Schizosaccharomyces pombe: one gene and its partners. The protein of the gene in region 3 interacts with the protein of the main gene of each other region in a pairwise test. Each region holds a gene or a part of one and is shown on either strand. Other genes may lie near its edges.

What was found.
Region 1: the proteins of cdc5 (region 3) and prp45 interact in binary tests that used the Schizosaccharomyces pombe proteins (3 or more experiments, as listed by UniProt).
Region 2: the proteins of cdc5 (region 3) and cwf11 interact in binary tests that used the Schizosaccharomyces pombe proteins (3 or more experiments, as listed by UniProt).
Region 4: the proteins of cdc5 (region 3) and cwf10 interact in binary tests that used the Schizosaccharomyces pombe proteins (3 or more experiments, as listed by UniProt).

The regions. Positions count from the first base shown.
Region 1 is NC_003421.2:1,500,783-1,505,164, reverse strand, and holds prp45 (Prp19 complex subunit Prp45), read right to left. Parts: upstream 2,523-4,382; 5' UTR 2,474-2,522; coding exon 2,445-2,473; exon of another isoform or gene 2,402-2,444; coding exon 850-2,401; intron 802-849; coding exon 709-801; 3' UTR 501-708; downstream 1-500. Other genes in the region: septin Spn6, read right to left, coding at 1-103, 166-224; SPOM_SPCC188.14 (uncharacterized protein), read left to right, coding at 3,955-4,194. UniProt on the Schizosaccharomyces pombe protein: Involved in pre-mRNA splicing.
Region 2 is NC_003423.3:920,831-927,462, reverse strand, and holds cwf11 (protein Cwf11), read right to left. Parts: upstream 4,792-6,632; 5' UTR 4,739-4,791; coding exon 884-4,738; 3' UTR 822-883; downstream 1-821. Other genes in the region: gta1 (glutamyl-tRNA amidotransferase alpha subunit), read right to left, coding at 1-320, 367-613; TORC1 serine/threonine protein kinase Tor2, read left to right, coding at 5,179-6,632. UniProt on the Schizosaccharomyces pombe protein: Involved in mRNA splicing where it associates with cdc5 and the other cwf proteins as part of the spliceosome.
Region 3 is NC_003424.3:2,692,794-2,697,930, reverse strand, and holds cdc5 (splicing factor Cdc5), read right to left. Parts: upstream 3,233-5,137; 5' UTR 3,174-3,232; coding exon 3,155-3,173; exon of another isoform or gene 3,115-3,154; coding exon 3,095-3,114; exon of another isoform or gene 3,038-3,094; intron 3,029-3,037; coding exon 3,014-3,028; exon of another isoform or gene 2,950-3,013; coding exon 2,830-2,949; exon of another isoform or gene 2,761-2,829; coding exon 2,312-2,760; exon of another isoform or gene 2,248-2,311; coding exon 597-2,247; 3' UTR 514-596; downstream 1-513. Other genes in the region: SPOM_SPAC644.13C (Rab GTPase-binding protein), read left to right, coding at 1-513; [pyruvate dehydrogenase (acetyl-transferring)] kinase Pkp1, read left to right, coding at 4,402-4,495, 4,579-4,745, 4,825-5,137. UniProt on the Schizosaccharomyces pombe protein: Involved in mRNA splicing and cell cycle control.
Region 4 is NC_003423.3:4,050,738-4,056,600, reverse strand, and holds cwf10 (GTPase Cwf10), read right to left. Parts: upstream 4,046-5,863; 5' UTR 4,001-4,045; coding exon 3,975-4,000; exon of another isoform or gene 3,931-3,974; coding exon 3,571-3,930; intron 3,533-3,570; coding exon 3,181-3,532; exon of another isoform or gene 3,122-3,180; coding exon 905-3,121; 3' UTR 622-904; downstream 1-621. Other genes in the region: protein Mtl3, read right to left, coding at 1-433; SPOM_SPBC215.11C (aldo/keto reductase family protein), read left to right, coding at 5,219-5,863. UniProt on the Schizosaccharomyces pombe protein: Component of the U5 snRNP complex required for pre-mRNA splicing. Binds GTP.

The DNA of each region.
Region 1 (4,382 bases), on a different chromosome or scaffold from region 3:
AGAAGTAGCAAAAAGAGTATTGAAGAACGTTGTTTTTCCAGTACCTGAGGCTCCGCAAAGCATGATTGTTAAACCACATTCTTTTCTTTTTATTAAATTTTCTCTGTGGTATATTTGTTAATGAATGATTTATGAATTTATGACTAGATTGTAACGATAACATACCTTTTGGATGGTAGACTATCCAAATTTAATAATAATTGAAGGTTTTCAGTCAAAGACATCGTAAAAATTTATTTCTCGAACTATCTGTATTTTGCTCTTTAGTAGGTTCAGGTTTGTTTCAAACAGCGTTTATCAGCGAAATATAAACAAACAACCGAATGTCCAGTGATAAAAAGCACAGATAAATAAATAAATATGCCTCATCAAAAATTTTTAAATATACAAATTAAATTATCTACATAGAAGACTTTTAATTCTTTTTCACATCTTGTACCAAAATACTTTCATAATCCTGGTTTACCAGAGTTGAAACAAGAATACAAATAAAAACGATGCTCAAATTTACTAGCTCTTTAATCATTAGAAGAATAAACATTAATTTTTAAGACTAAATATGAACTTCTGTTGAATTAACTGCCTTGATCCAAAAAAAACACAAAACGTAAATTGTACTTTTTTTTATTTTTAAGACAGTCATATTCCAATGAATAAAACCATACAATAATGTACATTTTCTTTGACAGTGTCAAGGATCGAATAGAATTAAGTTTTCTTTGAAGAAACATTATTCAAAAAAGTATCTACACCAAAAGGATCAGCAATATCTTTCTCGAAAGTGACGGGGCCAGCACGAGACTAAGAAAAGTTAGTATTTAAGTAAAAGTATAAGATATTGAAACATACCTCTACGACTTCATCCGATCCTTTGAACTTTTTATGCGCATTTCCTAGTACATCATAACGACTTTCACTAGTAATACGTTCCAATTCTGCAGATGCATCAACTTGACGGGACAAAGTAGCACCCGGTCTATATAACGTTGATGAAGGTGCCGCCCGCCACGGTTTATCATACACATTGTAACTGTCTTCGTCTTGAAATCCGGATCCTAAGCCAGAAGCCTGATTAAATAATCTACTATCGATCATTGTATCGCTTGACATTGATGGTTTTGAAAGTCCTAAAGCAACCCTTTCAGCGACATCACGAGGTCGATCTTTTTCAGCAAGCTTAGCACGTTTTTCAGCACCCATTCGACTGAGACGAAGATCCTTTTCAGCTTGGCGTCTTCGCTCGCGGCGAAGTTCTTGACGACGGCGAAAAGCTTCTGAATCCTCATCTTCATTTTCTGACTCTGAATGATGCGAGAACGATCCAGCTCTGGAACGACTTCTTTCTTCAGAGGAGACAGAAGTAGAGCGGGGTTTTGCATGTGAAGGACCCGAAGAAGCCGCATTTCTACCCATACGATCTTCCCTTGCTTTTTGAGCAAGCATAAATAAACGTTGCTCCTTTTCCTGCTTTTCCTTTTCAGCCATCTTTTGGCGCATTATGGCACGATATCGGACCTCTTCACGAGCTTGACGCTCCACCGTGTACAATGCTTCAGAAAATTTGGCAAATCCATCGTTGATTTCAACATCATTAAGACCACGACCATCAGCGGCCAGCCGCTTATCCAATGGAATAGTGTAGCCTTTCGGATTTTTCCAATTAGAAATACTCGGAGGTATTTGCCAATCTTGTTGTTCTTGAGCAGAAACTTTTCGTGGAGGAGAATGCAAGACGGGAGGAGGAGGAGAAGGTGGTCCACGAGGAACCTTTTTGTGACGGAATTTTGGTGGTTCCATGGGATCCTGTTCAGCTGTGACCATTTTGATAATCCTCTGTTTGCTAAGTGCTTGTCCCATTTGATTGCTAGGAGTATATCGAATGTATACAGGATCGTCACGTTGTTGTACCACAGCACTTTTAGGTTGAGACTGAGCGATTTGTTTGGAAAGTATTTTTTGTAAGGCAAGCTTAGTTTTATTCGCTACTTCTTGCTTTTGCTCGTCAGACGGTTTCTCTAACGAAATTTCTCCCACACCTAGTCGTGCACGTAAGGGGATCAAATCTCGAAAGCTTGCCTGTACCAACTCTCCATGTTCGTGACCTTGTCGAGCAATGGCATTATAGTCAACAGCGCCCGAAGAAGTGACCTGTAGAGCCAATGTATTACCAGCAGATTTAGCTGACCTTTTTCTGCCCATATCCAAAGGATATTGTGCTACATGGATTTCGGGAAAAGCTCCACCATCGCCAAAGTCTTCAGGTGAAGAAGGAAACCATCCCTTTCTTTGTCCATAGGGAGGAATGTGAAATTTGACACCAATTTGTCTTTCATCTGCATGTGATGTTTCCCTCTCCACATAATCTTCCTCTTCATCGTCGAAATCAGGATTTGGAAGTATACTGCGGCGTTGTTAGTGAATTTGAGAAAAAAATATAAGTTTACCTAGAAAGTTCTTCGGATAAAAGGGCCATTTTTGGAAAATAATAAACAACTTTCCACTCAGATGTGTGAAGTGGTGTTGAGTACGAGTTGTATGGATATAATGGACATATGAATTCTGTTCGAATGAATCCAAAAGCTCTCGCAGCTTTGAGAAATAATTTAATAAATAAATCCTCAAATTACTTGGAAATTTACTTGCAAGAATGTATGAAAGAAAATCAATGCACGCATTACAACAACTGGTAAATGAAGCTAGTATTACGCTAGGTCACCTAAGTTAGGATTCCGTACTTGTTAGCATTAGTGTGAGCAACACAGTAGAATTATTGCGAATAAGGCACACGAGGAAATGCGTAATTCTTAAGTGTATTAACGATGCTTTTGACAACATAAATCATTTTCAGTGGGATATCTCACAGTTTTCATAAATACTATTCCGACACACTCGATTACGTTAGATGTTAAGAATTATCAGATCAACTTAGCAATGCGGCTTGTAACTATCTATACCTTTGTGTTTTCTTTCACTTTTTGCGAAGTTTATAAAGTTGAAATTAGCTCCCAACGTGCTTTATAACTTTCAAAAAAGTAGTGCCACGTTTATAGGAGATACATTTAATAAAGAAAAAGATTTGCCAAGCGATGAATAGTGAAAGTTAGCATACTTATGGCTCAATGCCTATATATAGTTGTCATTAGCCAGCTACCTTACAAAGTAATGAGAAATGAGCTGTAAGGCATGTTTGAACTTTCAATACTTCAAAAATATTGATTTAGGCGATCAATACGAATTGTACTAAAGTTTCTATATGTACCTCACCTTTTTTTAAATTTAAGTGGAGTTGATGGATTTTTCTCTCTTTATGTGTGTCTTCATGAGACTATCAAATCGCGTACTTTTTAACTCAATGGATATCATTTGATAGCAAACATAATTCAAACAATTTGCCTCTATTTTTTTTATTTAATAACGAGTCAAACTTACCGAAAGAACCATATAGTCAATGTTACTGAATCAATGAGATTTTGCGGATACGTTGGGTGTGGTTAAAAATTAATCAAATCTTGTTTTCTCCTCTATTCCTTTTTACTTTTTCAACGGTCTACTATGCAAAGTGACCTTGTGTAAGAATGAGAGTCAAAGAGAAAGCAACAGTATTTCATTATTTACACTTCTGTAACGTTTCACGCGAAACGCTGGTAATTGACTTGAACACAACTAAACTGCTGTTAACTGGAACAATTTATTGAAGTGGTTGTTTTTTTTGCCCATATTTGGTTGGACTTTCTGCCTTCTGTTTTCGTCACTTTACATGATTCTAGAGAATCGGTAAAATTGCCAAAGTCTTTCCGATAAAGCGGAACGAACGCAAGATATCAAAAATCAATACTATAAAAATTTTTGTTGTTGATTGCTAATGTTATAATAAGGGTCTGTTGCTCATAACCAGGTTTGGTTTAGTAGGTAAAAAGTTGTCTGAGCTAAAACCTCAACTTTTGTATAGTACTGATGCCCACGACAATTTCGCTTATTATATTTACATTTCTTTCACTTGGGGACTCGTGGAACGATTTCCCGTCAAGTAATGTGCCTGTTTATAACATGGTTACCGGCATATACGCTAAGTTTATGAAAAACTCCCCAAACTGGCCACTTTCACGATGCTGGTTATTCATCCCACAGTTTGCTGTTTACCCAGAATACTTTATACTTTCAATAAGAAACACTCGTAGAAGAAACGTACTTTGACTGCTCTCACGGTTAAAGTTGTCATATAGAGAGCGGTTTCGTTTAATTTGATCGATAAGACCAGCCTGTGTTATTCGATTGAATCAGGTTTCGTCTCTACTTCTTTTTGACTTTCTGCGTTTGTTCTGTACAATATTTGGTTTCCAATTTTTGAGCGAAAACTATCTGATGCGAGAGGCGGACTACTT
Region 2 (6,632 bases), on a different chromosome or scaffold from region 3:
TCCATATCTCGAAATCCTGCCGAAAGATGGTTTAAAACCTACACAACCTACGTAAGCAGCAGGTAGACGGATTGATCCTCCTGTGTCTGAACCAACTGATGCATAACATATATCCGCCGCGATTGCAGCAGCAGCTCCTCCCGAGCTGCCCCCAACATCGTAATTACTATCCTTAACAACAGGATTAACAGTGCGACCAAAAAGATTGTTTTCGCTCTTGACTCCCATTGCAAACTCATCCATATTTGTTTTACCAAGAATAATACCGCCGGCTTTCTTCAAGCTTTCGACAATTGACGCATCAAACGGAGAATTGTAGTCTAGTTAAACCGCAATTAGTAACTGAAATATATTCTTATTGTCTACCCTTCAACATATTAGAGGCTGCCGTGGTTAAATTTGTCTTCGTGCAAATATTTTCCTTTACTGTAATCAGTTTCCATTTTAACGGAAGCTTCTTTTCCAGTGGTAATTTACTAATTTCAACAAATGAATCATATAGATATTCGGCACTATTTATTGAAGTTAAAGACTTAATTTTCGCATCATTTAGAATGATACTAGCATATTTAGCTGCAACTTCTTTTAATAAATTGTTATATTTATTACTCATTCGACCAATCAATCATTGGACGTTAACTTCGTGCAAATAATGTATTACCCAACTTGTTGTATAGTTGAATAAAGTAGTGAGCTATTATCGGTATGACACCTAAGACTTTTTCTGAGGGGATCAACTTTTTATTGTTTGTAAAGCTCACTATTTAGTTTTTTAAATAAGTTAATTATGCAAAAAAGCAATGAAATAAAATGACTTTAATCTTACAAATAATCATTAATTCAATACAACAAGCAAATAGTCTATATGAAGTAGGTTTTTATTTTAATTCGTATTTAACCTTTTTTTAGTCATTTCAACAACATAGTTTGAGAGATGAAGTAAATTTTCAATTTCAAATGTTTCAACGGAAGATCCGATTTTGTGAGAACTTGGATATATTTCTCCCGTGGTTAAAAGCAGCTTGTCAGGAGTCTTTTCAATTTCATTCCACAGTTTTTCAAGACCACGTGTAGAGCGAAAAAGGTCACGGTTGCACAATACGTACAGACCATATGAGCATGCTGAAAAGGCTTTATAAAATGTTTTTGGATTCCAATGATCAGAGGCCTCTTTAGATTCAACTGTCGTAAATATAACAAAGTTTACCCGTTTATCGCTTGGTAATTTTTCCACGGTACCTACAAAAGCAGGCTGACCAAAAAACGAGTTATGAGAACAGCGTACCGATATAATTTCATTTAAAAGGCTGACTTGACTCTCATAAAGCGTACAGATTACAATTTCGTTGGTGGGATAACCTAACATTCGCATGTACTGGAATAAGGCAACTGCGTACTCGGCTTCTCCAAGATTTTGCTTATAACCGCTAACGGGTTCTGTTTCTTGAGAACCTTTAAAAGCTCCCACATTAATAAATTGGACCTCATGTGCAAACCCCGAATTACCATAATCAAGTCTTTTATTGGGACTAGAATCCACAGTTTTGATGTCCAAAGGATAAATTGATGAACATAGAGAACTGATAGATTCTCTAACATTGTATTGCGTATTAAGGTCAATAATTCTGGATTTCAAATACCGCAAACGTTTGAAAAGTGAACCATTTGACGTATTATTTATATCCTGATTCCCAGAGGTAAGATATTGATTACCCAGAAGAACAAGGCGATCAAAACCAGTTGGTTCACAGTTTGAAAGTAGTATGCTAGTGATAGAGCTTTCACTTATATTTTGTGAGTTCATAACAATTAAATTGTTAAAGCAAAATCCCTTTTCTTTCAAAGTCCCTAAGCGTGTACTTAAGCTCGTCCAAGTGCATCCGATAATCCTAGATTGTTGGCATAATGCATACAATTCTTGATCTTCATAATATCTCAGTAATCCAAAAGGCCGGATCTCTTCCAGCTGTTGGAACATATATTCTAACTCCCCGTATAACTTTGTCGCATAATCGAAAAAATTATCTTTATTATACGTTTCTATCGGACGCTTAGATTTGTCACCGAAATACGAATGGAAAGGGAACCTGTTATAGGCATCCACAGAATCCTTATCATCTACCGTGTTCAAGTACTTTTCCCAAAGTCGCTTAATATAAGCATCCCTAAAATACAAAGCCGTATCTGGGCTGGCGTCATGAGAACCTGGAGCCTGGATTGAAGCAGCTAGGCGACCGATTTCTCGTAGAAGACCAGGAAGCTTAGATATCCAAGACGATAAAGTACCATAACGTTCCAACGTTTCGTCTTTTCCTTCATCAGATAGATATAATAGGTGCCCTTGGTGAAAACATCTAGCTTTTTCCAGTAAGGTAAACAAAGTATTCATAGAGAAATTGGAGTCAGAAAGTACAACGGTTCTATCATTGGGAGATGTGTCTTGTAAAACCTCTAGAAGTTTGCATACCAAAACATGTTTTCCACAACGAGTTGGACCATTAACCATAGTTAATCCTGGTTGAGATCCACGTAAAATCGATTCTAGCTGTTTGTCATTGTAAGTATATAATCGATTTGATGGTAGTAAAAAATGCCTATCAGATGCGGTAACATCAGCTGATATTTTGTTCTGATTAGTATAAAATTTGATTAGTAAAGATTCAGTTGATAAATTAGAAGGTACATGACAATTAGGAAGTACTGATTGCAACTGTTCGACTGTATTGAACAAGTTTCTAGCATAAATAGAATTAAGCCCAGCATTAGGAAAAGCACATATATCAGGCGTTCCAAAACCCAAAAATAAATCTTCGAACCATTTAGGAAATTCTTTAGCGCGATTAAGTAAAGATACAAGAATATTTAAGTCCAACCAATACTTATTTGCCTCAGGAGACAGTACCAAAGCAAAGTTGAACTTCAATTGCTTAGGGCGATATTCCCCCAACCCCGCAAGGGAATGATAATAAAATGGGCTTAGGTATACATTGATGGACTTGTTGTCAGAATCTGACTGCATATCGCTTTGAAACATTCCAACATCATCATTGCATATCGTCGCGATTGTAAAATCAGTCACCCCTTCTAAGGGGTCAAGCGCATTACCATGTAATAACTTGTACTCCATATCTTTAGAAATGTATATTAAGCAAAGAAAAGGGCTCTTGATGGAATTCTTTAAATCACGTAACGCTGAATGAAAAGGTCCAGGTCGACTTAAACCCATTTGACACTTTACAAATTGAGGTAAAACTTGACCGATTTGAGGTGGAGCAACGGAGGTAACTTTAAAGTTATTTAAAGAGAAAAAATTATCTTTGGTCAAATTCTTGGTCGCATTTTTAATTGATAGTCTCCTGTATTGTTCACTGAAATTTAAAAGTTCAGCATATAGTGACCTTAACAATAACTTTTTGTAAGCTTTACTCTGTTGTCTCATAAAAAAAGATATAGAAAGATATTGTATAGCAGTGTTTTGTAGTAGGAAGTAATTGGTCAAAGAGTTTTCTTGGTCCATCACGGATCGCTCACCAAGTACATCTTTCAAAGTAAAATTTATGATTTCATCATAATCATTTACCAATCTAGTCCTATCATACGTGTTAATAAAAACATTTTTTAAAAATTCGAAATCCACTTTTATAGCATATTTTTCGGGAAATGAAGTCCTCAAATAACATTTACTACACAAGGACTTAAGTGAATTGAAGGAAAGAAAAGACGTAATTTCCTCCAATTTTTGTCGCTGTTGTAAAGAGGTTTGTGTGCAAAATACCAGATCCCCTAATTCCTTCTGAAAATCCGAAAATAAAGTTAACTGTAAGTGGTAGTACACAAGCTCATCATTTCTGATTTTTTGTTCTTTCTCATATTCGTTACCTCTGGTATTATCAAAAGGGAATTTCAAAACATAGTTTAAGTCGTCTGTCATTTTTTTAAAAAGCTCATTACTGTCGTAATACAAAGACATTCTTAATGCGGTATAAAAACAACTGTCTTCTATTACGGGATGAGCAAAGCGACGTGTGGGAAATGCGGATAGTAAAACCAAAGACATATTGATAATTGCTAAAAGGGGGGTTACTTTCGCTTCTTGTTTTTCAGTTTGAGCGTAGCTAATCGATTTAATAAGCAGAGAATGAATCCAGCGGGAAAGTAAATTATGTAAAGGGAACTTTTCAACGATAGACGGTCGTTTTTCCTTATAAGAATCAAAGGCTTTCGTCAGAGAGCTTGAGTCATGTAGTAAATATTTTACTTTATCAAGATTATCAAGCGAATTTAAAATAGAAATGTTCGTTAACTGGTAAACAAGTTTCCTTAATTTCTCTATATTCGAAAACTGAAAACAGAGAGTAATGAATTGAATCATGTAAACCACTTCTGATAAATTTAAGGATAAAGAGACTTCAATTACTTTTTCAAAAAATAATTGAAACCGATTTTCATCAATGAGGTCCCATGTAATATATTCATATTTGGATTTGTATAATAGAAGCATACAAGTTAAGTTTATATGGTTCAATGACATCTCAGTATTAACCCTCTGCCAAAGGAAATTCTCAAAAAGCTTTAACTCATGTAACAGACTAAGTACTTGCTTAGCATCTTTACTTACAATGACAGCTTCGAGGATGCATTGTAGCATAGTTTCTTGAAATTCTACACCTTCATTTTGACCCCAATTCGAATTTGCATAATTAATGATTTGTTTTTTTTTGTTTTTATACAGAACCATTTAATAGAGAAAGGGATATTAGCAATATCACAAGTGTTGTGAACTTGGTGGTTAGCGTCAGAATCTTTAACAGCGATTCTTATTTGTTCTCCTCTATGAGCTTTGAGAAAAATGTAAAGTAAAAAACTTAAAGTAATACTTCGAAAATAAAATTTAGATAATCAACACTCGTTTTTGGTATTTTACCAAAGTTCCTAAGTTTAGACTTTTTTTAATAAAACTTGGATTTTTTGAGAACACTAAATATTAACTTGTATATCTATTACAAATAATTAATCGTCATAAAAATATTACTTTTTCAATCGTGTTTCTATTGATCTCCTCTCTGCGTATACTAAGAATTAGGTGCAAAAGTACAGCAGGTGCTTGTTTGGTCACCACCAACCACATTTAATAATTTTGTTTAATTGAGAGAATGATGCTAATTTAAGCTGTATATAATGAAAGAATTTCCTGGGTTGAAAAGCAGGAATGAAGAAATTCGCAATAAAGCGGCAAATGATCTTTATGAATATGTTATAGCTTATTCTCGAGAATTATCGGGCGAAGCTTTAGTTCAGTTTAACAATGATGTTAACAAGTACGTTTATACTTTAATTCACAGTACCGATCCACTCGATCGTCTGGCAGGCGTAACTGCCATAAATCGTCTAATTGATTATGAAGGAGAAGATACTACAAGGATTACTAGATTTGCAAATTATTTGCGTATTATTCTTCCAGGAACTGACCAAAAAGCCACCGTTCTTGCTGCAAAAGCTTTAGGGAGACTTGCAGTTCCTGGAGGTGCTCTAACTTCTGAATTTGTGAACTTCGAAGTTAAACGCGCTTTGGAATGGCTTCAAGGAGAACGTAATGAAAATCGTAGATATGCAGCAGTGCTTATACTTAAGGAGCTTGCCAAAAATACGTCTACATTAATCTATGCTCATATCGATTCAATTTTTGAGCTTTTATGGCATGGACTTCGGGATCCAAAAGTTACTATTCGAATAGCTTCGGCTGATGCGTTGAGTGAGTTCTTGAAAATCGTTAGGCAAAGGGATTCATCCATCCGTCTCCAATGGTATACAAGTATTCTCAATGAAGCTCAACGTGGTGTTGCACAGGGTTCTTCTGATTACATTCATGGTAGTTTACTAGTATATCGCCAATTATTTTTAAAAGCTGGAATGTTTATGCATGAGAGGTATCGAGAAGTATCGGACATTATATTGCAATTCAGAGATCACAAAGATTTGCTTATTCGCAAAACCGTTACAGAATTGATTGCTACACTCGCAGCTTATAATCCAGATGAATTTGTTTCCAATTATTTACACGTTTGTATGCTCCATCTACTTAATCTATTAAAAAAAGAAAATGTTAAGATGTTGGCGTTTGCCACTATTGGAAAAGTTGCCGTGGCTATTACTAATAGCATAATCCCATATCTTGACCCCATATGCGATTCAATCAAGGAAAGTCTAAAAATCCATATCCGTAATAAAAGTGCTTCGGATGCTGCAATTTTTCAATGCATTAGCCTACTTTCTATAGCACTAGGACAAGCCTTTTCAAACTATGCGTATGACCTCTTTGACTTAATATTTGCAAGCGGACTTTCTGAGGCTTCTTACCGTGCTCTCTCAGATCTGGCCCATAATATACCTCCATTATTACCAGTCATACAGGAACGACTATTAGATATGCTCAGCAAAATTCTAAGTGGTCGTCCTTTTATTCCTCCAGGATGTCCTCCCCAATATGTAGCAAGATCTTTAAAATCTTCAAAGAGTGCTTCCCTGAAGACAGGATTTTTTCCCAATGACGTCTATATTTTGGCTCTAAAAGTTTTGGGAAATTTTGACTTCTCCGGTTATATTCTTAATGAATTTGTGAAGGATTGTGTAGT
Region 3 (5,137 bases):
TCTCTGGACGAACCCATTCGTGTTACATTATTTAATGAATTTAGAGCTATTGGTGAAAAACTCGTCTATGTTTTGTATCCCAAAAATGCTCAAGTACTACGCGACTGGGACTTGTGGGGTCCTTTGATTTTTTCCCTCGTAATTGCTTTAGCACTTGCCTTGTCTACTGACAAGATTGAACGAGAATCTGTTTTTACAGTCGTTGTCGCGCTCATATGGTTTGGGGAAGCGGTTTGTTCTTTAAATATAAAATTACTAGGGGCCAACATTAGCATTTTTCAATCTATGTGTATATTGGGGTACTCCTCTTTCCCTTTAATGATTGCTTCTATAGTTTGTGCATTCGTTCCCTTAATATTTATACGCATACCTGTGATTGTTGCAATGTATGCCTGGACATTGTTCGCTGCTATGGGTGTTTTACAAAATTCTAATCTATCCAACAAAAAATTGTTGGCAGTATACCCTTTATTCCTTTTCTACTTTTCTCTAGCTTGGATTATCTTTTTATAAAACTTTCGTTTTATTTCAGGCATGATAATATACACTATGAATGATAAGCTATGACAATTATTTAAAACAAAGTGAAGTGAAGTTTAATTTTGTCCAGTAACCCTAGCATAATCTTGTTGAGCATACGCCTCGATTTGTTGCATTTTGCTTAGCTCTATTTCAGCTGCTTCAAGCCTATTAGGTAGAGCTAATCGCTCCTGATTGTATAGAAATTCGTAGCACGTTAAATTTTTCCTTTCTGTTTGCAAAGCCTTCCAAGCATGCGAGATTTTCTTTATCAAAAAATTACGTTGCTCATATGAAGATCTAACCAAATCATAAACCCGATTTTCCAACTTGTTACATTCCAATGCTTTCTTAGCTAAATCTCGTTGAATGTCGTTCGTATAAAACTTTTCAGCGGCTTCAACGTCTTCATCGTCTTCCTCGTAGATTACCAAGCCTGGCAACAAACTTGAGGTGTTGTGAAGTGCACTGTACGTTTCCAAAAATTCCTTCTCGAATTGGATATAATCGTCACTTTCTAGTTGCCCTATCTCTTTCTTTAGTAACAATCTACACCTCTCAATTTCTTCATTTGACAAATCAGGCACTTTGTTAGCCGTTCCTTTCACTTTTGAATTTCCAAACGGATAATTAATGGCGTCCGATGAAATCAAAGCAATCATTTCTTTCAATAAAACATTTGCAGTCGGATCTTCATTTTCAAGTGAACGCTTCCATTTTTCTGGTTGTGTTACAGATGGTCGAATCAAATCTCTTTGAATAACCTGTGACCTCCTCGCTTTTGCCAACCTTTCTTTTTCTGCAATACGTTCTTGGATACGACGTTCTCGGTCTGTTGCGTCTTCTTCAAGCACTCCAACAGTAGCTTCAACATCAGTTTCGTCCGCAAATCGAGGCTCCATTAGTTCATAGTCGTTTTTAGGTTTAGGTAGTTTTGCAAGCAATTCTCGCAAAGCCTTCAATCGAATTTTATTTTCTCTTTCACTTGCTAATCGTCCTGCTCGCTCCGCAGCTGCATTAATAGAAAATGTGTCACGTGGTGTTCTAAAAGGAGTTGCTTGAGGTGCTGCCAAAGCTGAGCCATTAGCTGCATGACTGGGAGTAACTCCTGTGTAACCAGTACCACCAGGTTGTAAAGGTATACTTTCCTGACCCAAGAGAGAAGATTGTTCGCGGTTCCTCATCAATTGATTTCTAACTTCAATTGTAACTGAATCCTCTCTTCCCTCAAGTTCACCACTAATTGGTGTTCTCAATGGAGTAGCTCGTTCAATTTGTGTATACTTTCCTAACAAATTAGTACTGTAATTAGCATCTGGAGTCGTATCAGTCATAGCGCGAGCACGATCGCCTGCAAAGCCTAGTTTCACTACTTTATCCAGTTCATCTTGAGACACAGTAGGACTAGGTAAATTCAACTTCCGCCTCTTGCTCATCTGCTCAGCCTCGGCAAGACGTCGCATTTTTTCTTCTTGGGCATCTTTGTTGGGCTTTTTTACTCTATCAATAGGTTTTGGCTTTTCAAAATGACCAAATTTTCGACCTTCGGATTCCATTTCATTATTCCGTATTCCATTTTCAATTATCTTCTGGTCCGCTTCTCGCTTTTCCCGAAAATTTTGCCTGTCCTCTTCTGAGGTATCATAAAAACCAATCGCTGGCTTTTTTTCAAATGGAATAGAAGCGTTATAATCCATTTCATTCTTCTTTCGACGGAAGAGCTTTATACTAAGTTATAGATTAACATAATGAAGGAAAAACAATACAATAAAGTAATAATAATAACACATACTTGATTCCAGCTGCCTTCAATTCTCTTCGCTTTTGGAGATGTGACAATCTTCTAGTTAATTCAAGCTGCTTTTCTCTATCCTTTCGTTTGGCTTTCTTTCCTTGTGTGTTTGCTAAACGTGCACGTGCTTCACTCAACATCTCTTTTTCGTCTTCATCCATGTCAATGGCATCAGGGAGTGCAGGTAGGGTTTCTAAATTGGGCTCTGCTTCGCCAAAACGAAGCCGGGAATTTGGATCGTTAACAGGCGCAGCTGCTTCTGCACCTTCTCCACTGATCAATCCCAACTGCTCGTTCTCTTTCGCTTCCAAATCATCAAGAAGTTTTTGATAGCGTTCTAAACATTGAGTGGCCGTCCGACCTACAATTGGAGCAATCGTCCGCCACTGTGTAGGAAGTAACTTAGCTAAGTGTAATAATTTTTCGTCCTCTTCACGACTCCATTCAGTCTAAATGTGAAGGAAATGTTAACAATAGGTCTTGTCAAATAACAAATAGTGATTACATGTTTAACATACCTTTTTAATGCTTGGATCGATCCATTCATACCAACGAGCTTTACATTGTTTAGGAGTTTTGCGAACCAGCAATGAACTTATGCGGGCCCATTGGTTTTTACCGTATTTACTGACAGCAGCCTAGGAATTTGCGTTAGTATTCTAAATATTAAAGGAAATATGTAACTAATAAATAAAAAAATACCTTTAAGATTTCATCCTGTTTACCAATAAGTTAGTAACAAAAACATTGCGCGTGGTAGAAGGTTAAAATCATAGTCTTTACCTCTGTATTTTTCCAGGCACCTAAATTATGTTAGAAAATACAATAAAAAAAGTTACAAACCTCCTTTTAAAACAACCATTTTCTAAATATTCGCCAAAACCCTGACAATTGTCAGAAAGCGTGGTAATGGAGGTTTGTAGTAACTGTAACAACTTGCGACGAAACAGGGTGGATGGGAAATTGAGGTAAATGTCGAGTGCAGCAGAAAGTGACCAAAATTATATTTTATATTTAAAGTAGTTTTAACTTTTAAAAGAACAGTTTCTTAAACACACTAATAGTCAAACCAAATATTCATTTTATTGTTTTTTCCAGTTTGCTACGTATCACATATTTACCTTAAATTATTTCAATGTAGCACATGTTTCTTTATCGCAAAAATATAATAGCGCAAAATCGTTGGACAACATTAAATTTTTTTGAATATTCCTAACCGTTGAGTATTAAGAAAATATTTGACAAGCAGGATATAGCAATGATCAAATATGTTTATCTTGAAGGTGGATCTACCATACTCTTCCTCTTATTTATGGTTGGTATATCAACAAGTAACTACAAGCATTGCAGTATTATGTGTATCGTTAAGTAACCTAATGACCGCGTATTTGTCAGCAATACTACACTACGTTACATATCACTATATGTCATATGTTGGAATACTAATTAAGATCCGTCTATTGATCATCACGGGTAACTATCCGTCTATATACATAGATACCCGTTGATAGCAACTATTTAGAAATATTATAAATAGAGTTTTAACTGAACTGAGGAACGAGGTTCAGTTATAAGCTATATTAGTGATAGGTAACATTTTATAACCTAGTTAATACAATACCTATACTCAGTTGCTACTCATACGACCTGTGTATTGTAATATAATAGACCACAAGGAAAACTCACCGCAGTTCTACGTATCCTTAAATTAGATAACAAACTGTGTAGCTAGCAGTATTGTGAAAAATAAAATAAGCAATGCAAAAGAAGTATAATGTATCACGCATTTCAATTTTAATGGAATACACTCAAGTTCATTATTTTTATGGGTACTTTGCAAACATATGAATGCATTAGTTTAGCAAAAGCTTTCTTAGATTCTGTGTGAAAACATTAAGAAACTGCTTTATTTGTTTGTTTCTGAAGCTCATCTTTTACTTTCTTTAGGTTATATTTTGCAAATTGCCGCTTTTTTTATGCTCGTCCATGGGTTATCATCTATTTGTTAGACAAACCAACAAAGTTTACGATTGAACAATTGTTCTATTTATCATTATCGAATTTAAAGAAAAACTTAAGGTTTAAAAGAAATGTCAGTGCTCGGGAAAACTTTACAGGAGAAAGTCAATCTCTTGGCTCAATATCCTCAAACAGGGTTGTCTTTAAAGCAATTAGTGTATTTTGGTAAGAATTTTTGCTCAGTTAATTTTTCTTAGATTACTTCATACTAGAAATTTTATACTGACTGCTTAATTTTTATTATGAAGGCAAGAACCCTACACCAGGAACACTTTTCCGGGCTGGCTTGTTTTTGCGAGATGAATTGCCCATTCGCTTGGCTCGGCGCATCCAAGACCTGCAGAATCTTTCACCGATGCTACGAAGTATGAAGCGTATATCTTCCGTAAAGGCTGCTTACGGTAGATCTATGGAGGTAGGTCAAATGTGTATATTTGCATGTTCGATACTTGTCGAAACATAACCAGAAATCAAACAAAGCTAACTGGTTGAAGGAAATTATTGAACTGAAAGGAGTGGAACTACCGAAATGTCTTCCAAAGCACGCTCGATATCACAATGCCCCGAAATGGAGGTCAAGTTTAATGGACTCTGAAATTCTTCATAATCCCTCGCTTGCAAATACTCATTTAGACTCTTCAAAAGGTCGCTATTTTGAAACAGATTTTTCTGACCAAGATAATGGCGTTGATTGTAATTGGCCCGAATCTTTGTTAAAATTTAATAGTAATTTTGCATACCTTTTAAATACCATTCGAACTAGACACGATAACGTTGCAGTCGAAATTGCTTTGGACATACAAGAAT
Region 4 (5,863 bases), on a different chromosome or scaffold from region 3:
ATACAGAACTTGGGTCCAGAAGAGAACTGGATTCCGTACTAGAAGGCGTATATTCAGAAGAAGTAGGTGAAAAGAAAGAAGTCGACGAGGGAAGCTGACTAGTTGCGGGATCAGAATAAGAGCTGACCGGAGACGAGTAAGAATTAGTTTCTGAGGGAGTAGCAGATTCAGAAAAGATACTGGGTTCACTAGAGCTAGTGGGTGTCGCATACCCGTAGTAAGTAGGAGTTCCTCCAGTTTCAGCGGCACGACCATAATATCGGATTTCCTGACGCCTTTGTAGTTCCTCTTGAGAATCTCTGCCCTCAAGTTGATTTAAAGATATTTTTGTGAAGCTGGAATTACCATATATTTGATGCACCAAGAAGGCTTGCGTAAAAATGTTCGATATGCAAAATACGCAAATGAGAGAAAACAAAAGTCTCAAACCCATCTTCAGTTTTAAGGATAATAATAAACTAATCTAACTAAACTCGCTGTATTTTACTTCCAAAAGCAGAGCACTTCCGGAAGTTGTATATGTCCCTAAAGTCTTCCGGTATACTGAGAGGGTAACTTCATGACATATGACCTCGGGTGTTTATAGTACTATGAAATTACGTTATTTCAGTTGAGTGTTAGTTTCTTAACATAAAAAAATAAATAATAGAAGTTATTTATCTATATACTAAAATCGTAAAACCAAAATGCGACTTTTCCTTCTGATCAAGGATTTCACAAATAATTTACGGCTTCAAGATATGCGCTGATTTTTCGGATTTCATACACTGTAAACGCGAGATTTGAAAGCAAAAAAAAGTTGTTAGACTTCTCGAACTTTCATAAATAATCGTATACTTTATTATTAAAATCTACCCAATTTATTTTTTTTTGCAAAATCCATTATAAAGACTTAAAACCGACATTACAAAGAGAGTACGACACCTGCTTCTTTCAAAGAATCAATCATTTCTTGATCGAAATAGCGAGTTGTAGAAACATCTTCCACCAGACCTTTTCTACGTCTTGTCTTAATCAGAAAGTCTCTCGCCAAATCAGAGCCACGTGCGGGTTCTAATGGCTTGGGCTTGATAGACTTATCCAGTGGATCACCAGGTACTACCTGCCAATGATCAAATACCATTTGACACATAGCTTGACCCTGAGTATGCACTCGTAAATCTGTTTCAAATCCACAAGAATCAATGACTGGAATAAGTGCTCTCACCAAATATAATGGGGAACCTGGCCGAGGGATATCTTGGAGGACATGACCACGACGACGCGTTAATAAATCATAAATAATAGGAAGACTGTCAGCGGGGGCATGTACTTCAACCATATACACTGGTTCCATTAGCCGTGGAGACGCTGTTAAAAAAGAAGAATAACACACTCTCCTTGCGGTTGGAATAATTTGACCACCTCCTCGATAAATTTGTTCAGGTGCAAGCACTACATCCATCAGGCGAAAATTCACGTTTCGGATTGTCTCATCACATAGAGGACCTTCCCTAGTCCCCCATTGAAAACCTTGTTTAATGTATTCTTTTACGCTATTAAGCACGTTTTTATCAACATCTGTACTAAGAGTATCATCCCGCAATATATTCGTACCACGATCATCGGGACCAAAAGCCCAGATGGAACGTGAAGCTAGTAAGTCCCAATCGTAGTTCTTTTGGAAAAATTCGCTGATTCTTTTTTGAGGCCAATTGATATTAACTTTTCCATTTTCAATGTCATTAGAAATTCCTTTCTCCAATGGCTCAACTACCATTGTGATACGATTTTTTTTATTTGGAGTATCTGAAAAACACTTGATACTTGATGTGTCCACCGCAGTCTCACAGAAACGAGCAACTGGATCGGAAACTCTGATTTCGATTTCAGAGTATAAAGTCCGAAGATCATAAAGTAGACAATCCATATACATCTCACCAGTACCGAAAATAGTATGTTCCCCAGATTCTTCTACTTTTGTGATAGATAGTGGGTAGCTTTTGTTTGTTTTTCGTAGGCCATCAAGTAGTTTTGGTAATTCTGATGGATTGTGTGGCTCTACAGCCACCTTGAAAACACTCTCGGACATGTGAGCAATTGGCCTGAAAATGTAAGGATCATCTTTCAAATTGTCCGAAACGATGGTTGCTGTTTTGCTAATAGAGTTATCAACACCTCCTAAAAGAACTAGCATGCCGGCAACAGCTCCATCAACGTGAAGACGATATCGTGCGCAAGGTACACATATTTCAGCAATATGAGCAACCACCATATCCTCTTCGTCTTCTAAAGAATAATTTTCTCCAAGAACTTTAACTTTCTGACCCTTTTTAACCTGACCACTATATACACGAGCAAATGCATAAAAATTATTAGCATCGACGGTGTTGTAAAGTTTAGTAACATGCATGACTAATGGTGCTGATTCCTCACGACTCATTTCTAAGATAGCCTTGCCGATACTAGAGTTTATAGGCCCAATATATGATTGAGAGGCTTTACGAGCGGCATTTTCTCGAGGCGATGGAATATGTCTAGTAACTGCATTCACAAAACCAACGGGGAATCCAAAAAACGATGCGCAAATTAGTTGCAAGAGTGGTTTAGGATCTAATAAATAATCCTTGGGTTTTAAATAAATTTGGAAAGAAGATAAGTGTTTTTTGAGTTTTTCGGCTTCGTCAGAAATAGTAAGGGTATGTAATTTATACAACGGTTCTAATATGAAATGGACAAAGCTTCTAACGCCAGAGCCATCCAAGGACTGTTTGGCAAATTTTCTGGTTTTCGAATCGAAATAAATATCCCCCCACAATCTTTTAGAAAATAAGTCCACGTCGATACCTCCATGTCTATCTATATAGAGTTTTGCGAAACTAGACAATGTAAAACAATATCCAAGATCACATGAAGCAAAACAAACGTTCCCTAACTCAGGAGAAACGCGATATTTCAAATCTTTACTAATCTGGCAAATGTTATCGTTTACTTCGTCGATAACGTGTCGAAGTTTATGGTAAGCATCATTCGGAGGGAGACGTAGCTCAAGGATTAACCTATCAACTTTGTTCAAGACGAGCACAATTGGCATATCGTGAAGAATCGCATGTTTGATAATTCTAGTGGTGTTAATCATCACCTAAAGCATGTTAGAATCTTTATATCTTCAAAACGCAAGAAAAGGCCAGAATAACTTACACCTTCAATAACATCAACGACTAATACAACACCATCACTTATGGCCATAGGAGCAGCGACTTCATCAACAAAATCGACATGACCAGGCGTATCGATGCACTGAAATGCAAACGTCTTACCCTTCATATCAGAAACTGCGAGCGTAAGTGGAGTACTTTTTATAGACATCACACGTTCTCTTTCAAGATAATGAGTGTCGGTATATCGAAGTGAACGCCTTTTTGGCGGCTTGGTGTCAGGATGGGTATAATAAACGAGTAAATCTAATAAAGCGCTTTTGCCGTGATGCAGATGGCCAGCAACAATAAAAGATCTAACGTCATCTGTCCCAGTTAAGAGACCGAAGAGGAACCTTAAAAAGTTAGAAAAGACATTGTTACACATACTTACTCTTTCTTGTATACAGTATCTGGGACGTTTGTTGTTTCTATAGCAATCCTTTTGTGACGAATTGGCTCAATAATGGGCTGGCTTAAGGGTTGAGTATCCTGTTCCTGAACCATGATATCCACGTTGGACCCATATACCTCTTCAGCGCTAGGATAATATTGTTTATCCTCGTGAAGAACAACGGCATTCTGAGGCTCTAGATGACTCAACGCCATTTCCTCGGCCCTTTCAACGTCTTCTAATTCTTCATCAGGAATGACCTCTTCAAAGGATGGTACCTGTGCAATTGTAGGGCTAGGAGCCTGAGGAAACAGCTCCTCTTCATCTTCTTCATTTTCAGGGCCTATGTAATTTCCAAACCTGGCGAGTTAGAAATAACTATAAAATGTTTTTAGACCACTTACTCATCATATAAATCCTCTTCCATCATCAGTTACTGCCAAGTACCCACAATGCACAACTTTTGGTAATTACCAAATTTGAAGTAAAGTGTAACCAAGTTTTCGAGCTTTAGCGCATTCATGTCTCAACTGCGATTTATATCTCGTTAAGCTTTGATAATGAGCTAGAGAAATCATTGTCTTTATACTCTCTAAACGAGATATGATCGGCTCAGTAACTTCCACTACACTCTTTAAGGTTGCCGAAGAACGACATCGTCTCATTTTGATAGAAAGGAATGAATCGTAATTATTGAAAACCAAATATACTTTTTTATTTACCAACTTCCTCCTTAAAAGTCGTACATGGGTGTAATTGAGACCTTAAAAGACTGGTTATGTCTACGATTTGAGCTACCGACCCATGTTTAGCAGCCAAATTTATAAGCTTTTCGAAGACAATAGTAAGAGTAAATAGCCATTGTAAAAGTGCGGTGCAAACATTTTTAGAGCGCAAGTTTTGCAACTGTACAAAGTATTTAGTGTGTTTATAAAACACACAACAAATTGCTGAATGTCAATAACACTAATAATATACTGGCATCATCAACTAAATTCAAAAAATGTGTTTCCTTTCAAATACAGTCCTAGAATTGTTATTATGTGCAATGTTTACCTCGATTTACGGAACTGGTCAACCCATTTGTGGTCTCCAAATGATAACTCGTAGTACGATTTGATAGCACGATCAAGCATAATTCAAGAAGATGGAAAATATAAATCCACATTATCTTGAATAGAAAGAAACATAGCAATAAAGATCATTATCGTTATGTGCGACCATCGTTGCTCATGAATAAAAATGGGCTGGCAAAAGAAGACAGAGATACAGTTTAGACAATTCATCCAGCATCAGATTTTGGAACCATAAAATTATCATTAAATTGAATAAGAGCCAAATCAAAAAGGACTTAGCTATTTACTCTAATTCAAAATCCAACCAGCAATATCGTACTATAATAGTATTAGTCATCGTTATGACAATATATTGTCTAACGCGCTCTTACATCATACCACTGGATTCTGTAAATAGGGTATGTAATAAATCAGTTTTCGTGGTTTAAGATAGTCCGCATCAATCCAGCTTATGTAAGGAATACACCATGTAAAATTACTATAAAAGGAAACGGCGTCTGACATCCCACACTTACCGGATCCACTATAGTACTTGATCTTGATTTCTAAGAAAAGCGACAAAAGACACAAAAATGAGTAAAACTGCAGCTTCTTCCGCCGTAGATGCTTCACAAGCTGGGACTGTCAAGGTTGGCGACATGGTTGTCAATAGAATGGGATTCGGAGCAATGAGAGTTACCGGTGATGGTATATGGGATGAACCCAAAGACAAAGAGGCTTGCATCGCAACTTTAAAACGTTTGCCTGAACTCAATATTAACTTTATTGATACCGCCGATTCTTACGGCCCTGAGGTCAGCGAGAATCTTTTACGAGAAGCTTTATACCCTTACAAAGGACTTATAATTGCTACCAAGGGTGGCCTTGTTCGTACAGGTCCAAATGAATGGCATCCTTGTGGAGCACCCAAATTTTTACGTCAAGAAGTACTTATGAGCATGCGTCGACTTGGAGTTAAGCAAATTGACCTCTGGCAACTACATCGCATCGATCCCAAGGTTCCTCGCAAAGACCAATTTTCTGAAATTGCAGCTATGAAGAAAGAAGGATTGATTCGCCATGTTGGATTGAGTGAGGTTACAGTAGACGATATCAAAGAAGCTGAACAGTATTTTCCGGTAGTTAGTGTTCAGAACTTATTCAACCTTGTCAATCGTAAGAATGAGAAAGTGTTAGAATATTGTGAACAGAAGGGAATTGCGTTTATTCCTTGGTAT